Oryzias latipes: one gene and its partners. The protein of the gene in region 4 purifies or fractionates together with the protein of the main gene of each other region. This does not show direct contact. Links are inferred from orthologs where the notes say so. Each region holds a gene or a part of one and is shown on either strand. Other genes may lie near its edges.

Region 1 (2,293 bases), on a different chromosome or scaffold from region 4:
ATTTCCTCTTTGTATTGAATATTCAGTCGTTTTTAAAATGCTCAACTAAATTCAATATAAAAGCCTTTTTATCTAAAGTATGTTACCAAAAACATGTGACAATCCAAAATGCAACATTTTATTGTTTAACTAAGATTGTTTTTTGCATTGAATTTATTGATTTAGAAAATGCATGATCAAATTACACCCTGGGAACTGAATTCCACATGAACGATGGTGAAAATGGCCCAGCGGTTTAACAGAAGCGGGTCCAAAGATGCCAGAAGTTCTGGTGGGTGAAACCAGAGGTTTCAGGTAAAACGAGCCGTGCAGCGGCCCAGAGGAACCATCCGGAACCTTATTCAGAAGCAAAAACATGGCAATGACTCCATGGAAAGAACAGAACCTCCATCCCACCACGGGGTTCCAGGAGGTCGTGTGGGAACGACCCTGGAGGACGGAGCGGGTCAGCGTTCAGGCGACATGGGCGGAGCTTCAGGAGAGTAAATCAATCAGCAAAGGGTCAGCATTGGTACAAAACTTTATTCTCACAATATCAAAATCGACAGACGGGTTAAAAGGAAGGAAGAGTGGAAACGGATGTGAGAAGAGCTTCCTGCTGAGTCGTCCTTCAGGAGTTTATTCACAGCAGCGTTCTGAATGGTAGATAGCGAGTCATGTGACATATGGGGGGGGGGGGGGGTCACTGGAATCTTGCAGCAATAACTGTACAGAGACAACATAATATGCATTAAAGGAATTCATTAAAATCATAAAACTTTGCACAGCTGCGTATCTTTGAACAAAGAGAGAAGTTACGGTTTTCCAACTGAAACTAAAAGAAATGGTCTGAATAAAAAAAAGAGGAGCAGAGAGGCGGAGTCGGGCTGGAAGTTGTGTCTACAGAGCAGGACAGATGGAGGCCACATCCAGGCCGCTCCACAGGAGCCAGCAGGCCTCCGGACTGCTTTGAGTTCAGACGGACGCCGCTGTCGGGGAGCAGCAGGAGGCCGGAGGCGCCGGGGAGAACTGGAACTAGAATGGCGGCGCCTTATGGCTGCTGGCCTGGAGCTCTACAGGAAATAGTCGGCGACGGGCTTCTTGGAGGGGATGCCTCTGGTCTCCTGTGGCGCTGCTTCAAATATGATGAACTCCCGCTGTAGATGCTCATCCAGCTCCAAGATGGCCGCAACGTTTCCACACCTGAGTGCAAGGAGACACGGCGAGGTTAAACCAGCACAGACCCTCAAACCGCTAGGCGAGAAGGACGCCGTCTTCAGCACAAACAAGGTTTAAAGCGGATCTCAGAACTTTTCAGATCAGAAAACAAGATAAAAGCCCACAAAACATGTTTTATGAAAAGTATATAAATATTTCAAAATATGTATGTAAACAGACACGAATGTATAACATTAAAACATTTGCTCATTGAGGCTTTTCTATAAACACTAATGACTCTCTGAACTCAACATAAACCTATTTAGACAAAATCCTCAGGATGTCAATCTGAGCTAAAGTGCAGCAGGAGAGCTGACACAATAAAGCAGTGAGATGGTTAACAGCACACGGCGTTCCATGCTTTCTCCAACAGAGAAGCTCTAACTGAACAACCAGATCATTATGGTCTGTCTCTGCTGGAGGGCGTTTCCGTCTGGCCACTAGGTGGAGCTCTCCTTATAGCATTACACTTTATTCCAGAAGATTGGAGCAAAAAATGGAGCTTTAGACCACAAATGGTTACTTTCAAAAATGTTTCTGTAAAAGAGTTTGGAAAATTCCTGCCTGTGAGTCTATAAAGCTGCTCATTGAGTCAGTAATGTATGTTTGGGTCGTCCAAGAGTTAGCATTAGCCGTCCTATGGGAAATTCCATTATACGTTAGCATCAAGCTAGCAGACTTTGGCTTTACTGATGTTATACATTAGATCCCCGGAAAAAAATGAGCATAAAAGATCGATTTCTACTTTAATGGATCTATTATTGATCTACTAAGATTGGATCAATTCAGATCAATTAATCGATTTGATCAAAATCACCGTGCAAAAAAATGTATATACAGTTTTTTTTAAAAGTAAGAAAAGCAGGGAATGTAGGAGGAATTGACTATTATCCATTCTTCCACCATCCCCTGCTACAAGCCCCTCCCACTGGTTCCAGAGGGGCGGCGGCTTCTCCTGCCACAGTTGGGGGCAGCTGCTGCTCCTCACTGGGAGAGTGAATGGTTTCATGAGGCACACATGGAGGCGTGTGCTGCTCATTGATGCTGTTGTAGAGCTCTTCAAAATGAAGAAACGCCATCTGTCATCATCTGCGTC
Region 2 (4,208 bases), on a different chromosome or scaffold from region 4:
AGGTCGGTCCAAAGCTTCTATGGAGCAAAACACCATCTATGTATGACGTCAAACCAGAGCAGTAGTGACACACGATCGGAATGAACTGTTTACATGAACAACGATCGAATCCACAATCGGCATAACCCACCTATCTCGATCGGAAAGAAATTTTGATCCGAACAAGTCAGAGTATTACGAACGGCGTGTTTACATGACGCATTTTTCTTCCGATCAGGCGTTCTTTCCGATTACTTTTGTCCATGTAAATTCAGCTAGTGAATCCCTGTGATGTCATCCAGGTGTCAGTGAATCCCTGTGATGTCATCCAGGTGTCAGTGAATCCCTGTGATGTCATCCAGGTGTCAGTGAACCCCTGTGATGTCATCCAGGTGTCAGTGAACCCCTGTGATGTCATCCAGGTGTCAGTGAACCCCTGTGATGTCATCCAGGTGTCAGTGAACCCCTGTGATGTCATCCAGGTTTGTCAGTTTGTTTGGCACAGAGCAGACGGACAGCAGCGGTTTGTCAATAGGACATTTTATTTCACATGTCTGTTGTCTTCATTGAAATTACAGTAATATAGTAGAGATGACTGCTGGCTGCAGCCTTAACAGCTGAAACTCAGAGCTGTTCTACTGAAGCAAACTCTCCTACGTTTCCTTTAAACTGATCTGGCAACAGAAAGAAAGCACAGATGGATGAAGGTGGAGACGGGCGGGGATATAGTGAGCTCTAAAAAACAAAAACAGTTGTTGGAAAAGGATCAAAATATGGCACATTTGGTCCACGTCGGTACTTTTTTATTCTCCTGTTTTCAAACATGTCAGATGGAGAAGATGAAGGTTAACATGCGGCTGAAGCTCAGCTTTAGTGACATCACCGCTCTGTTGAATCTGCTCAATGCATCTTCTCCATTCAAAATGAGAGGGGTGGGGCAGGGGCGGGGCTTGGTGAATGACTTATGGGGGACAATAGGACATTCACAGGAAGTAGTCAGGAGTGCGTCTAGTCACATGAGGCTCGCCGCGGCGGGGGGCGGGGTCAAACTGCAGGCTGTAGAGAGAGGATGAAAGTAAAGGTGCGATTCAGAGACACGTTGGATGAAATGATGATTGGACTCTCTAGGAATGTTCCATCCAGAGACACCCGGGGGGGTGGGACTTACAAAGAGTACTTCAGGGTGTCGTCCAGTTCCATGATGGCTGCCTGGTTGCCGCAGCGATAGCAGTAGTTGGGGGCGCTGAAGATGGTCACCACGTTCTTGTCGTGACCCCAGTTGTAGCCCTGCAGACAGAGGGGTGGGGGTGCATGATCACAAACGGCCCATCCATCCTAACAGCCGGGGGTGTGTGTGTGTGTATGAGGAGTCTCACCTCCATGACCAGCTGATGGGCGCGGGACACCAGAGTTAGGCCGTTGGCGTGGTTGAAGGTTTCAGAAATGTCCTGTCCAAAAGTGTAGCCAGCACCTCTGGGAGAGATGCCCCACCCACCGCGGTCATCCGGGTCAGACCACAGCAGGTCGCACATGGGGCCCTGGGGGGTGGGGGGAGTCAGATTAACACCAACCTGTGCAGCTCTTACCTTCTGCTCTGCAGCAGAGGAGGACGCTGCTGTCGGGGCTGTCCCGCTCCGACCACGTGATCGCAAACCGGAGTTGATCGATCGGTTGCAGACTGGATTGAAATCAGACGTGTCTCCCGATCGGACATAACCCTAACCCGATTATACCATCATTTCAAGCTTATTATTCCAGATAAATACTCTACTAGAAGTCTGCATTTCATCAACGAATCACCACAATTTTTCACAGCTTCGAGTTCCGGGTCAATGACTCTTAATAAAATGTTTTCAACTGACGGCAAGTGTCACGTAAACAACGACCTACGAAAGGATTTTAAGAGAAAAACCATCAGGATTGAAAACGGCGCTGAGATTTTTTCCTGTTCCGATTAAAAATGTTCAACAATTCTGAGGATACTAAAGCTTCAGTCCCCAAACTTTCTGCCATGATTATCAGCAGTTTTGACTAGTTTATAGTTAACTATTCGTACTAGATAGCTGCAGGATTTACTTAATCGTAGAAGTGTTGAATGATAAAAGGAGGAGAATAAAAGAAAAAATGGATCTGTTCATTAATTTGTTTTTTTTTTTGTTTTTTTTTAAAGTACTTCACAAAAGTTTTGGATCAGGACTCTGTATCGGCACAAACTCCAAATCAAAGGATTGGAATGACGTAAGGCCCAAAACACTTGAGCGGGACGTCCAGTGAGGAGCGTGTACCTCATGCGGGACCTCCTGCAGGCGGTCCAGAGCTCGTATGTGGTCCAGAGTGTCTATGGAGGGAGACAGGCCGCCGTGGAGACAGAAAATCTGAAAGGACAGCAAAGGACAGTGTCTGTAGAGCTCCTGCTTCCATGGCCTGACGGTCTGGGTGTAGCGGCTCTCACCTGCCCGTCCACCAGCGCAGTGAGCGGCAGGTAGTCAAACAGGTCTGTGAAGTACTTCCAGACGTTGGCGTTGCCGTATTTCCGCAGACACTCGTCATAGAATCCGTAGACCTGTGTGATCTGACGGGACTCGTGGTTCCCTCGCAGTATAGTGATCCTCTCTGGGAATCGAACCTGCGCATGAAACCTCACATGAACACTGCCAGCTGCCAGCAGGTTCCACAGCATCACACATCGCACACCTCCGGAGAAACCGAGGAAAGACCTCTGCGATCTGGTTAACGAGACTAAAGTCCTCCAACGACAACCACAAAGCTGCACGCAGAGGCGGGACCTCTGACTCCGCCTTTACAGCAAACTTTGAGGAGGTGGGCGGAGTTACAGCCACTGAAAAGACCGACTTCAAGATTAATTTCCTTATTCAGGAGAAGTGTCTGCGGTCCAAAACGGACAACCATTAAGATTAAAAACAGGTAACCTTTAAGAACATTTCTTCTTAAAACAGCCGCCAACTCGCAGAGAAAACACAAACACACAGACACACACGGACACATAGAAACACGGAAACCTTGAAACGAACACAGAAACACAAACACACACGGAAACATAGAAACACACAGAAAGGAACACACAACACTGCCGCTGCCGCTCTGCCACACAAACACACCTCTTCCAACTGCAGGTACGGCCTCCCATATTACCATTTGGCAGAAACCTGACAGTTGTGCAGGTGTGACCACAGAAGACTGCTGACAACAATCAGATGCAGTCCCACCTCCTCAGGCGCTCCCACTCTCAGCAGGAAGGTCTGCTAACGAGGGTTACCTTTAACGTGACGAGCAGCGTGACCGTCTCCACAGAGTAGTAGCCCCTGTCCACGTAGTCTCCCATGAACAGGTAGTTGGTGTCTGGAGACTTCCCTCCGATCTTAAAGAGCTCCATCAGGTCATGGAACTGACCGTGAACGTCGCCGCACACGGTCACCGGGCATCGCACCTGAGGAGACCGTCATCATCAAGTCATGTTGCATTTATCCGTCATGTATTAAAATCCGCTACGTGAAAACAAAGTCTGACTAAACCGTGATCACATGTAGATGACACACGGAACAGCTCGTTAGCATAGCATGGTAGCATTTAGCATCATTGCAGGGTAGCATGTAGCATGGTAGCATTTAGCATCATAGCATGGTAGCATTTAGCATGGTAGCATTTATTATCATAGCACGGTAGCATTTAGTGTCATAGCACGGTAACATTTAGCGTCATAGCATGGTAGCATTTAGCATGGTAGCATTTAGTATCATAGCATGGTAGCATTTAGCATCATAGCATGGTAGCATTTAGTATCATAACATGGTAGCATTTAGTATCATAGCATGGTAGCATTTAGCATCATAGCATGGTAGCATTTAGTATCATAGCATGGTAGCATATAGCATGGTAGCATTTAGTATCATAGCATGGTAGCATTTAGTATCATAGCATGGTAGCATTTAGTATCATAGCATGGTAGCATTTAGTATCATAGCATGGTAGCATTTAGTATCATAGCATGGTAGCATTTAGTATCATAGCATGGTAGCATTTAGCATCATACCATGGTAGCATTTAGTATCATAGCATGGTAGCATTTAGCATTATAGCATGGTAGCATTTAGCATTATAGCATGGTAGCATTTAGTATCATAGCATGGTAGCATTTAGTATCATAGCATGGTAGCATATAGCATGGTAGCATTTAGTATCATAGCATGGTAGCATCAGTGTGTAACGAC
Region 3 (3,738 bases), on a different chromosome or scaffold from region 4:
GTAATTCTGGTCATTTATGCACAACAATAAAACAAAACGGTCTTGTCATAATTTTAGTATTCCACCTCAGGAGCTCCTCCTTAAATTCACTTACAAATTCTCACATCGGTATGTCCGCTCATGTGTGAAGTATGATTGTTGTATGTAATTCCAGTGTTGAATTAAATACCATGATGGCCACTAGGAGACGCTGTTTTGAAGAAAGCACTGATGACTCCAGGCTTGTAAAGCTTCTTAGATTCTTTAAATTCATACATTTACAACAAACTCCGGTTGACTCAATGCTTGTTATTCCATAACAAAAAACAAAGATACAAAAATGTAAAAGTTTTTTTCCATCAACCAAAACCTGTTAGTCTGCACTGCGCTTCTTCACCTCAGAGATCAGTCACTCCGACTCCAGATATCGTCTGCATCCACAACAAAACCAAATCCAAACAACTGAAAGTTGATCGTTCAGGTGTGTCCATACTGAAAGTAAATCCAAAACAAAAAGGCGTTGTCAGTTTTTCTGCAAACTCCAGCGATGGACTCGCCTTTTGTCTTCAGTCTGCTGTCGGCTCTCCAAGGCAGAGGTCCCCAAACGTTTTCAGGCCACGGATCAGTTTAATGTTGGACAATATTTTTACAGGCGTCAAATTATCAATTTTTTTATCTTTTTCAGTTTCCCTCAACTTTTGAGTGTAAAGTTGTATTCATTCTTTGTAAAATATCTGCAACTGTTTTCTGCTTCATCTGTGCAATAGATTTCATGTTGAAACCATTCAACATGAACAGATTTTCCCTTGACCACAACCGTCAAAGTGGAGCCTCGTCAGACTTTTGGGGTGCAACGGATTTAAAAAAAAAAAAACAGTCCCTTAAACTAGTATTTTCACACTATATTTGTAAACGTGAATCCCCTGTTTGAGCAATGTTAGACAGTTGCTGAATATTCTGCATTATTATTAACATTATGGTCTGTGGGAGCAACTGTCACAATAAATCCACATGTTGAGAAAAGACTCCTGTCTGTTAGATGCAGATATCTTTTATTTTGAAGTCAAGGGCTCTTCTGTTTCTTCACTGGATCTTTTTTGCCTAAACAAACTTTTCAAATAAGTTTATTTATTATTCTTTTTTTTTTTTGCTGGCTTGGGGGTCTCAATTTAGCCGCTTTAAGAAAGTGACGGATGGATTTTCAACATGTGACCGAGCGACTTGACGCGCGTCAAGACTGAGTTGGATGTGGTTGAGAGTCCAGTAGTTTTTCAATAAGTCAGATTCAGAATCAGATTGTAAATAAAAGGGGTAAAAAATGAAGTTTATGGGATGTTTTGCCTCAGTGGCCCGGTACCAATTGTTCCCAATAGCCTGGGATGGGGGAACACTGCACTGAAATACAACTTCATCATTTGGACCAGGGCTTTACATTATCTTGGCTAAAATATGAATTTGTCCCAGATTTTCTCTTGATGTTTGTTCTTTTGTGACAACATGGTGGTGCCGTTGAGTTTTGGCTTTGCATTGATGTCACACCTCCCTCTTTACCTGCACAGGTTCATGAATACCTGAGGAGCAAGCTGTGCTCGCTCTATGAGAACGACTGCATCTTCGACAAGTTTGAGTGCTGTTGGAACGGCAACGACAGGTACCAGCACAGCATAGAATGGTTTTGTATTTAGACCTGGATTGTTCTTGTTGAGATCTCACCTGCATTTGTTGTCACCCCCCCTTTTCCAGCGTGGTCATGACCGGCTCGTACAACAACTTCTTCCGGATGTTTGACCGCAGCCAGCGGCGGGATGTCATGCTGGAAGCATCCCGTGAAAACAGCAAGCCCATGCAGGTCCTAAAACCGCGGAAGGTCTGCGCCGGAGGCAAACGCAAGAAGGATGAAATCAGTGTGGATAGCTTGGACTTCAATAAAAAAATCCTGCACACTGCTTGGCACCCCCAGGACAACATCATCGCTGTGGCGACGACTAACAACCTCTACATATTCCAAGACAAAGTAAACTAAGACGAAGGCAGGTTTGTGAGAGATGAGGTGGAGAGATTCTCATCTTTACCACTGGCAGCCTCACCCAGGATGACCTGTGGGGGTGCAGACTCCCAGCATCCCTCTGTCACCTCCAGGTGACCAGACTTTGCCACTTTGTTTTGGATGTGGACAGAGGAAGACGCTCTGGCCCATCATCAGTCAGTCTGGGGGGTGTAGTCACATCTGCCTTGTTATTTAAGTGATGTGCCAATTTTTTTTTTTTTTTCTTCTCTTCAATGTTTTTGTTTTGTTCAGACAATTTGCTTCTCCACTGTGGGCAATAGTTTCATTTCTGACTACAGGCACGCTCATTTTTATACCTTCCCCTAAATGGTTCTGTAGTAAAACAAAGAAATAAACACTTTAGTGTGTCCCTTTATTGCCCTGTGCCATTGTGATGTTTATTTTTCTAAGGAAATGTGGAGTTTTTGACTCTATGCGAATACTGTTTTAGTCTGTTCCTTTGAGGATCCAGCAGTTAACAGTTGTGTCCTCCTTTTTTTTTTAAATTTCCTTTCACTTCCTGGTTGTTCCTACTCCACAGCATCACCTGACGGTTGATTTTAAATACAGTGAGTCCAGACTGGTCCACTGAGGTTCTCGTCCTGCTCACTGTTTCTGTGCCTCAGGCTTCGGGGTGGGCGACGTTCCCAAGCTCCACAAGAGATTTATTTTGTTTTGAGGTTGGCTCTGTCTTAAAATCATTGTGGTTTAGTTCTGATTTTGTTGTGTGTGTTCAACAATAGGCAGGTATGAGAGAGAGCCTATACAAAGATAACTATGATTGTCATATTTATATACAAAGAAAAGAGAATTTGACTAAGAGGCTTTCCGTCCCTCTTTGGGATATTAAGCTGACCTTAAACAGATCTTTTGTTTTGGGGGGGGGTTTGTCTTCCCATAGTGAACCATTTCTCTAAAGCAGCCCTTCTGAACAGGAACTTGGAATTTGACACTGGACTTTTATTGCTGCACCAACGGAAGTACTTGGATATTTGTGTTGAATGACTGCAACTTAAAGAGAAAACGTTATTTGAGGCATTAAGGCGTCTTCAGTGAGGATGAACTGCAGTCGCTGCTGCTTTGTGATGGCACTCGGTTCTCCAGAACACCACATTTACCTGTAAACTAGGGATATTGATGCCTCTGATAATGTGTAATTATAATTTTACTGACGGAAGAGGAATAAAAAAATAAAGGAACTACTTTTGCATCCTTTTGATTGTTTTGATTCCTCAGATCTAACCTATATTGGGTGATACTTCATTTACTTTGAGAATTAAGGGGAATTTGTTTATTTAATTCTATATCTAATGATGTAAGGTGAGCTGTTACCTATATTTCGTAAAGACTCCATCAGTATGAAAAAAGTGTTACGTAAGTACGCCCCCCCCCCCCCCCCTCCGATTGAGTATTTAACGAACGATGTTACGTCATCACCTAGCCGTGAGCAGGCGTGCCCTCGCTGCTGCTGCTGCTGCTGCTGCTGGTGGGAAAACAAACGGCAGCGGGACTTCAGATCGGCTGCTCCCTCCTTCTGCCGAGACCCGGACTAGAGCAGCGGACTCTTGTAGTGTCCACGTCCGGATGTATGCCGAACAGGGCACGAGCGCTTTGCACTGATCCGAGTCCTGAATGCAACCCACCCTGCTCAACACAAACCACCATGTCTGACGCTGCTAACACTGCCTCCACAGACAACAACGGCGGGGACT
Region 4 (4,143 bases):
TTATATGGGTCAATGGCAAACACCTTTATGTAATGTCACGTGACACTTTCTAAAGTTTAAAAGTAACATCTCCTAAGAAAACTTCTTTCTGTATACCCCCACACCTTTTTTTCACATTTAAAATTTGGTCTATGTTATAAATTCTAAGGTATCAATGTAATAACTTCACTACAATAACATACTGACGTGTTTATTGCAAACACAGACAAAGAATTCAACTATCTTGCAGTTTTTGGTGATTTATGGCTCAATGAGTTCCAAGCAGCTTTATGTTCTCCAGATAGAGCTGCCGTTCTGCACATTTATTTACTTTACATGCAGTCCAAGACAAGGTTTGTTAAAAGAACAATTTATTTTTACAATCATTCAATTCAAATAATAATTTGTGGTTGGTGATGTGATTCATAGTCGATATTGGTTAATTTTAAACGGTCCGATTTGATCTAAGTCAATGGCCTAAAATGGATCCAGGGAATCTTTAACAAAAAACTTAACCAGTGTGACTGAGTGATAAATACCTGGATACTAAACAGTGCAGGTGAAGTTTTCCAGATTCCTTGTATTTCTTGCAAGATAATCAAGTGTAAATTAAATATAAGAACAAACAAACAAGTAAACAAGAATTTAAGGTAAATCCATTCACATTTTAGTTTCCTGAAGTTCAGCCCACTATTGTTACTCCACATCAAAATAATACAAACAGAACCTCATTAGAACATTCTATCATACTGTACGGTCATATGTCTTTCCTAATTTCAAAGTGGAATGATGGACTGTATTTCTGCATTTTCCAACGTTGATTAAAATGGCATTATTTCATTTTGAAACAATGTTATGATGCTACAGGTGATTTTATTTGATTCAGTTAACAACTTCCCTTAACATATCGATCTGGTTGGATTGTAGGAGTATAAATCGATTAATAGTTACATCCCTAAATATTATCAGCTCAGTAAAGAGTGAGAGAAGGAAAGACAAAAGTTCAATTTTTGTGATTCAGAAAAAAAATACTGTTAAATATGTTGTGAAAATGCGTATAAACAAATTGTGACACATCACATCATCACTGTAATGAGTGAGGGACTAGCGTTTAATATTAACATGCCTTACAGTGTAAAAGGGAGGGAGCAGAAGAGAAAAGACTTTTCAGCCGATTACCAGTCTAATGGACGACAACTTGTTGTTTTTAAGACACGATTTTAATCATTGAGAAAAATGAATATTTTATAAAGCACAGAAAAAGCTTTGATGATTACTTGTTCATTCGTTGGAGATATGAATGTACTTTTTTTACCGCTAGGTGGCAGCACTTTCAAAAAATGAGTAGAAAACCACCTCAAAACTACGCAGAACAAGAAGAAAGACGGAAAATACAAAGAAGCCGTTAGCCTGTATGCTATAGCGATTCATCAAATGTTTGGTTAACGTCAGTACAAGTGTCAGAAACTATCTTATGCAGCAAAAGAAAGGGAAGGCTATATTAGACATCTCTTGACAGAGCGCTCTTTCCTCACAGCATGGAGAAACAGTTGCATTTAAACCTGCTGGCCTCCAGACCTCCAATGGCTGGTCCTGGTGGATTTCAGTCTGGCTCTAAAATCAAGATGGGGTGAGAAGCTAACAGTTCATAAAACGTTAAAGGGTTTTTTTATATCTACATTTGCGTGTTATTCTTCATACCTCTTGTCAAAGCCATACTGTGAACTTTTGTCTGAATAATAGCTCGCCGAAAAGCCAGACACAGCTGAAGGAAAACCAATATTTAGTTAGCATTTAGGCTAGCCTAGTTACCGCTTATAGAGTAGGCACGACCCGCCTTCTGCAGCTGCTGCAGAGGTTTTTTTATACATATAACTCCTTTGAGTTAACAAAGTCTAGCTGATGCTGTGTAGAGCTTATCGTTTTCTTTAAGAAAAAAATCAGAATATATATACGTACTTGTTATGTTCTGATCCAGGAGACCCCCGTTACGCCCACCAAAGGATAAACAAAATCTAGTTTACAATACAGTTTTACTGATTTAATCCAAAAGTGTAATTACATTCTTATGAAGATGACTCTTTCATTAACTTCGTTAAAGTGGTTCGTTTTCTGCATAAGTCGTGCCTCTAAAGGGGGCAGCTGTGTGTCAGCCAGCAGAATAGAAACAGTAATTTACTAATGGGTAATATGGAGTCAAACCACAGTTTGGAGGTACAGATAGTATGTATATTGTACATAATGATTTCCCCCTCATTTTTATTTGTATTTATATTTTTTTATAGACCTGGCCGGAAGAAAGATTTTACTCCACTGCTTTGGAGTCAGTACTTTGAAACCATGGAGGATGTTGAAGTGGAAAATGAAAATGGCAAAGATATATCCTTCCCAAAATCTCTGTTTCACAAGAATGCCGTGACGATTTTTTGTTGTTTTGATTTACGCATATCATGGAATTAAGATTCAAATGCTTTTCAAATTCTTCGTCTAGGCCAGGGATCTGCAACCTTAAGCAGTAAAGGAGCCGTTTGGGCCTGTTTCTTGCTGATCAAAATCTCATTGGAATCACAAAGTCTTATTTTGCCCTTTAGGAAAAGTTGATACTACTTTATTTTTGGCTTGAATATAGAGCAAAAATATAAAGTGAGAGTAGCTTTTTCTCAAAGTGTGAAATTTTTTCTTTTTCTTTCTTACTTTTGACAGAAGCTTGTATGACTTCCTTTCAAAATTAGACTTCCTGTGCCGAACAGGGTCATCCTATTGCAACTAATGTTCTCCTAAAAAGGTTTTAAACAACGCAACAGCATCTTTTTTGTGCAACATGAGGCTCCGGAGCCACATTGCAGACTCCTGGTCTAGGTTTTAGTTTTGCTTAGCGTTTTAATGTAGTGCTTACAGCCTTGCGTTTTGTTTTCTTGACCGCACAACACATTTTCAGAATTTACTGCAGTGGTTCACTTGGTCCTGTGCTGTTGCTGCTCCATGGAGGAGGCCATTCTGCACTTTCTTGGGCAGTGTTTACTGTGGGTATCATTACCACTGCATAATCCCCTATTCTTAAACAGTAATCGTACACCAATATAACGAGTAATAATAACAATATGTGTGTTGCAAGACTGCCCAGAATACAGATTGAAATGACCTCTGTATATGTCTCTACAGTCAGTCATATCCAACATGATTACCTGTAGGGTGGTTGCCATGGACTTGCGAGCTCATGGTAAGGAAAATACTCTGTAGGCTTTGGAACAAATGACTTTTTCCCATTTTTTAAATGTAAAATAATTTCTGTAGAACTGACATTTTTCTGCAAAAATGATGGAATAAGTTTTCCAATCATTACTCTTTAAAAAAAAAAAGAAAACTAATCTGAGATTGTCACGGTAAGATGAGAAAGCTTGGGAATCCTTTCAGGTGATTTTTAACTAACAATTTTATCCACCCTGTAGTATATTCTCCAGAAAGACTAACATTCTCATTCTCTGCAATACATTGTGAGGAATTTTAACTTTTTTTTTTTTTTTTACTCTACACAAATGTGTTTATATATAAATTTAGAACCAATGCTTTGCTTTTTTTTTTTTGTTTGGTAAGCGTAACAAGAAATTCTGAAACTCGTCTTTAAACCTGCAGGTGACACCAAAGTAAAAAATCCTGAAGACTTGTCGGCAGATACCATGGCAAAGTAAGATACCGTTTTGTAAATACTATCTCTTTTTGTCTGAAGTGGGTTTATAGTTTGTTTGTTTGTTTGTTTATTGCTGGCTTATGTCCAAGAAATATATGAAATCCTATAAACTGGCTATATATGGAGTGATTAAACTACCAAAAAAAAAAGATACGTTTTGGGTTTTTTTATGCAATTGTATTTTTCTTTCAGAGTTAGTAATGTACCAAGTTAATCTGTTTTTCTTGTAATTATGTATTTCTTGTAAACTAGTAAATGAAAAAGGGAACCAATTGTTGCCACCTGCTAGACTGCTGCTGATTTGGAGTAATATTGTTGGACACTGTCAAGAAAATGAAAGATTTTCAAAATGAAATAAAGTGTAAGGAATTAAGTACAGAAATGCAAAAGCAAAACAACAACACAATTTTTGTGTATGTCGTCTTTATTTTAAAAAATCCTTTTTGTAGCATTTATCTTTTTTGACGCTACTCTTC

The links. The genes of interacting proteins can lie anywhere in the genome.
Region 1: the proteins of ppme1 (region 4) and ppp4c purify together in Homo sapiens (affinity purification with mass spectrometry; 3 studies listed by BioGRID and IntAct, with this or other methods). This does not show direct contact. The link is inferred for Oryzias latipes from reciprocal best matches to the Homo sapiens genes PPME1 and PPP4C.
Region 2: the proteins of ppme1 (region 4) and ppp2cb purify together in Homo sapiens (affinity purification with mass spectrometry; 6 studies listed by BioGRID and IntAct, counting the BioPlex papers as one, with this or other methods). This does not show direct contact. The link is inferred for Oryzias latipes from reciprocal best matches to the Homo sapiens genes PPME1 and PPP2CB.
Region 3: the proteins of ppme1 (region 4) and serine/threonine-protein phosphatase 2A 55 kDa regulatory subunit B alpha isoform purify together in Homo sapiens (affinity purification with mass spectrometry; 3 studies listed by BioGRID and IntAct, with this or other methods). This does not show direct contact. The link is inferred for Oryzias latipes from reciprocal best matches to the Homo sapiens genes PPME1 and PPP2R2A.

What each region holds. Positions count from the first base shown.
Region 1 is NC_019866.2:25,208,685-25,210,977, forward strand, and holds the end of ppp4c (serine/threonine-protein phosphatase 4 catalytic subunit), read right to left. Parts: intron 1,183-2,293; coding exon 1,053-1,182; 3' UTR 503-1,052; downstream 1-502. UniProt on the Homo sapiens protein: Protein phosphatase that is involved in many processes such as microtubule organization at centrosomes, maturation of spliceosomal snRNPs, apoptosis, DNA repair, tumor necrosis factor (TNF)-alpha signaling, activation of c-Jun N-terminal kinase MAPK8, regulation of histone acetylation, DNA damage checkpoint signaling, NF-kappa-B activation and cell migration.
Region 2 is NC_019867.2:193,788-197,995, reverse strand, and holds the end of ppp2cb (serine/threonine-protein phosphatase 2A catalytic subunit beta isoform), read right to left. Parts: intron 3,428-4,208; coding exon 3,257-3,427; intron 2,606-3,256; coding exon 2,432-2,605; intron 2,355-2,431; coding exon 2,265-2,354; intron 1,518-2,264; coding exon 1,356-1,517; intron 1,267-1,355; coding exon 1,148-1,266; intron 1,036-1,147; coding exon 963-1,035; 3' UTR 503-962; downstream 1-502.
Region 3 is NC_019870.2:24,063,047-24,066,784, reverse strand, and holds the end of serine/threonine-protein phosphatase 2A 55 kDa regulatory subunit B alpha isoform, read left to right. Parts: intron 1-1,538; coding exon 1,539-1,630; intron 1,631-1,722; coding exon 1,723-2,002; 3' UTR 2,003-3,236; downstream 3,237-3,738. Other genes in the region: BCL2/adenovirus E1B 19 kDa protein-interacting protein 3-like, read left to right, coding at 3,615-3,738. UniProt on the Homo sapiens protein: Substrate-recognition subunit of protein phosphatase 2A (PP2A) that plays a key role in cell cycle by controlling mitosis entry and exit. Involved in chromosome clustering during late mitosis by mediating dephosphorylation of MKI67.
Region 4 is NC_019872.2:16,425,284-16,429,426, forward strand, and holds the start of ppme1 (protein phosphatase methylesterase 1), read left to right. Parts: upstream 1-1,334; 5' UTR 1,335-1,517; coding exon 1,518-1,609; intron 1,610-2,264; coding exon 2,265-2,358; intron 2,359-2,909; coding exon 2,910-3,002; intron 3,003-3,141; coding exon 3,142-3,199; intron 3,200-3,612; coding exon 3,613-3,664; intron 3,665-4,143. UniProt on the Homo sapiens protein: Demethylates proteins that have been reversibly carboxymethylated. Demethylates PPP2CB (in vitro) and PPP2CA. Binding to PPP2CA displaces the manganese ion and inactivates the enzyme.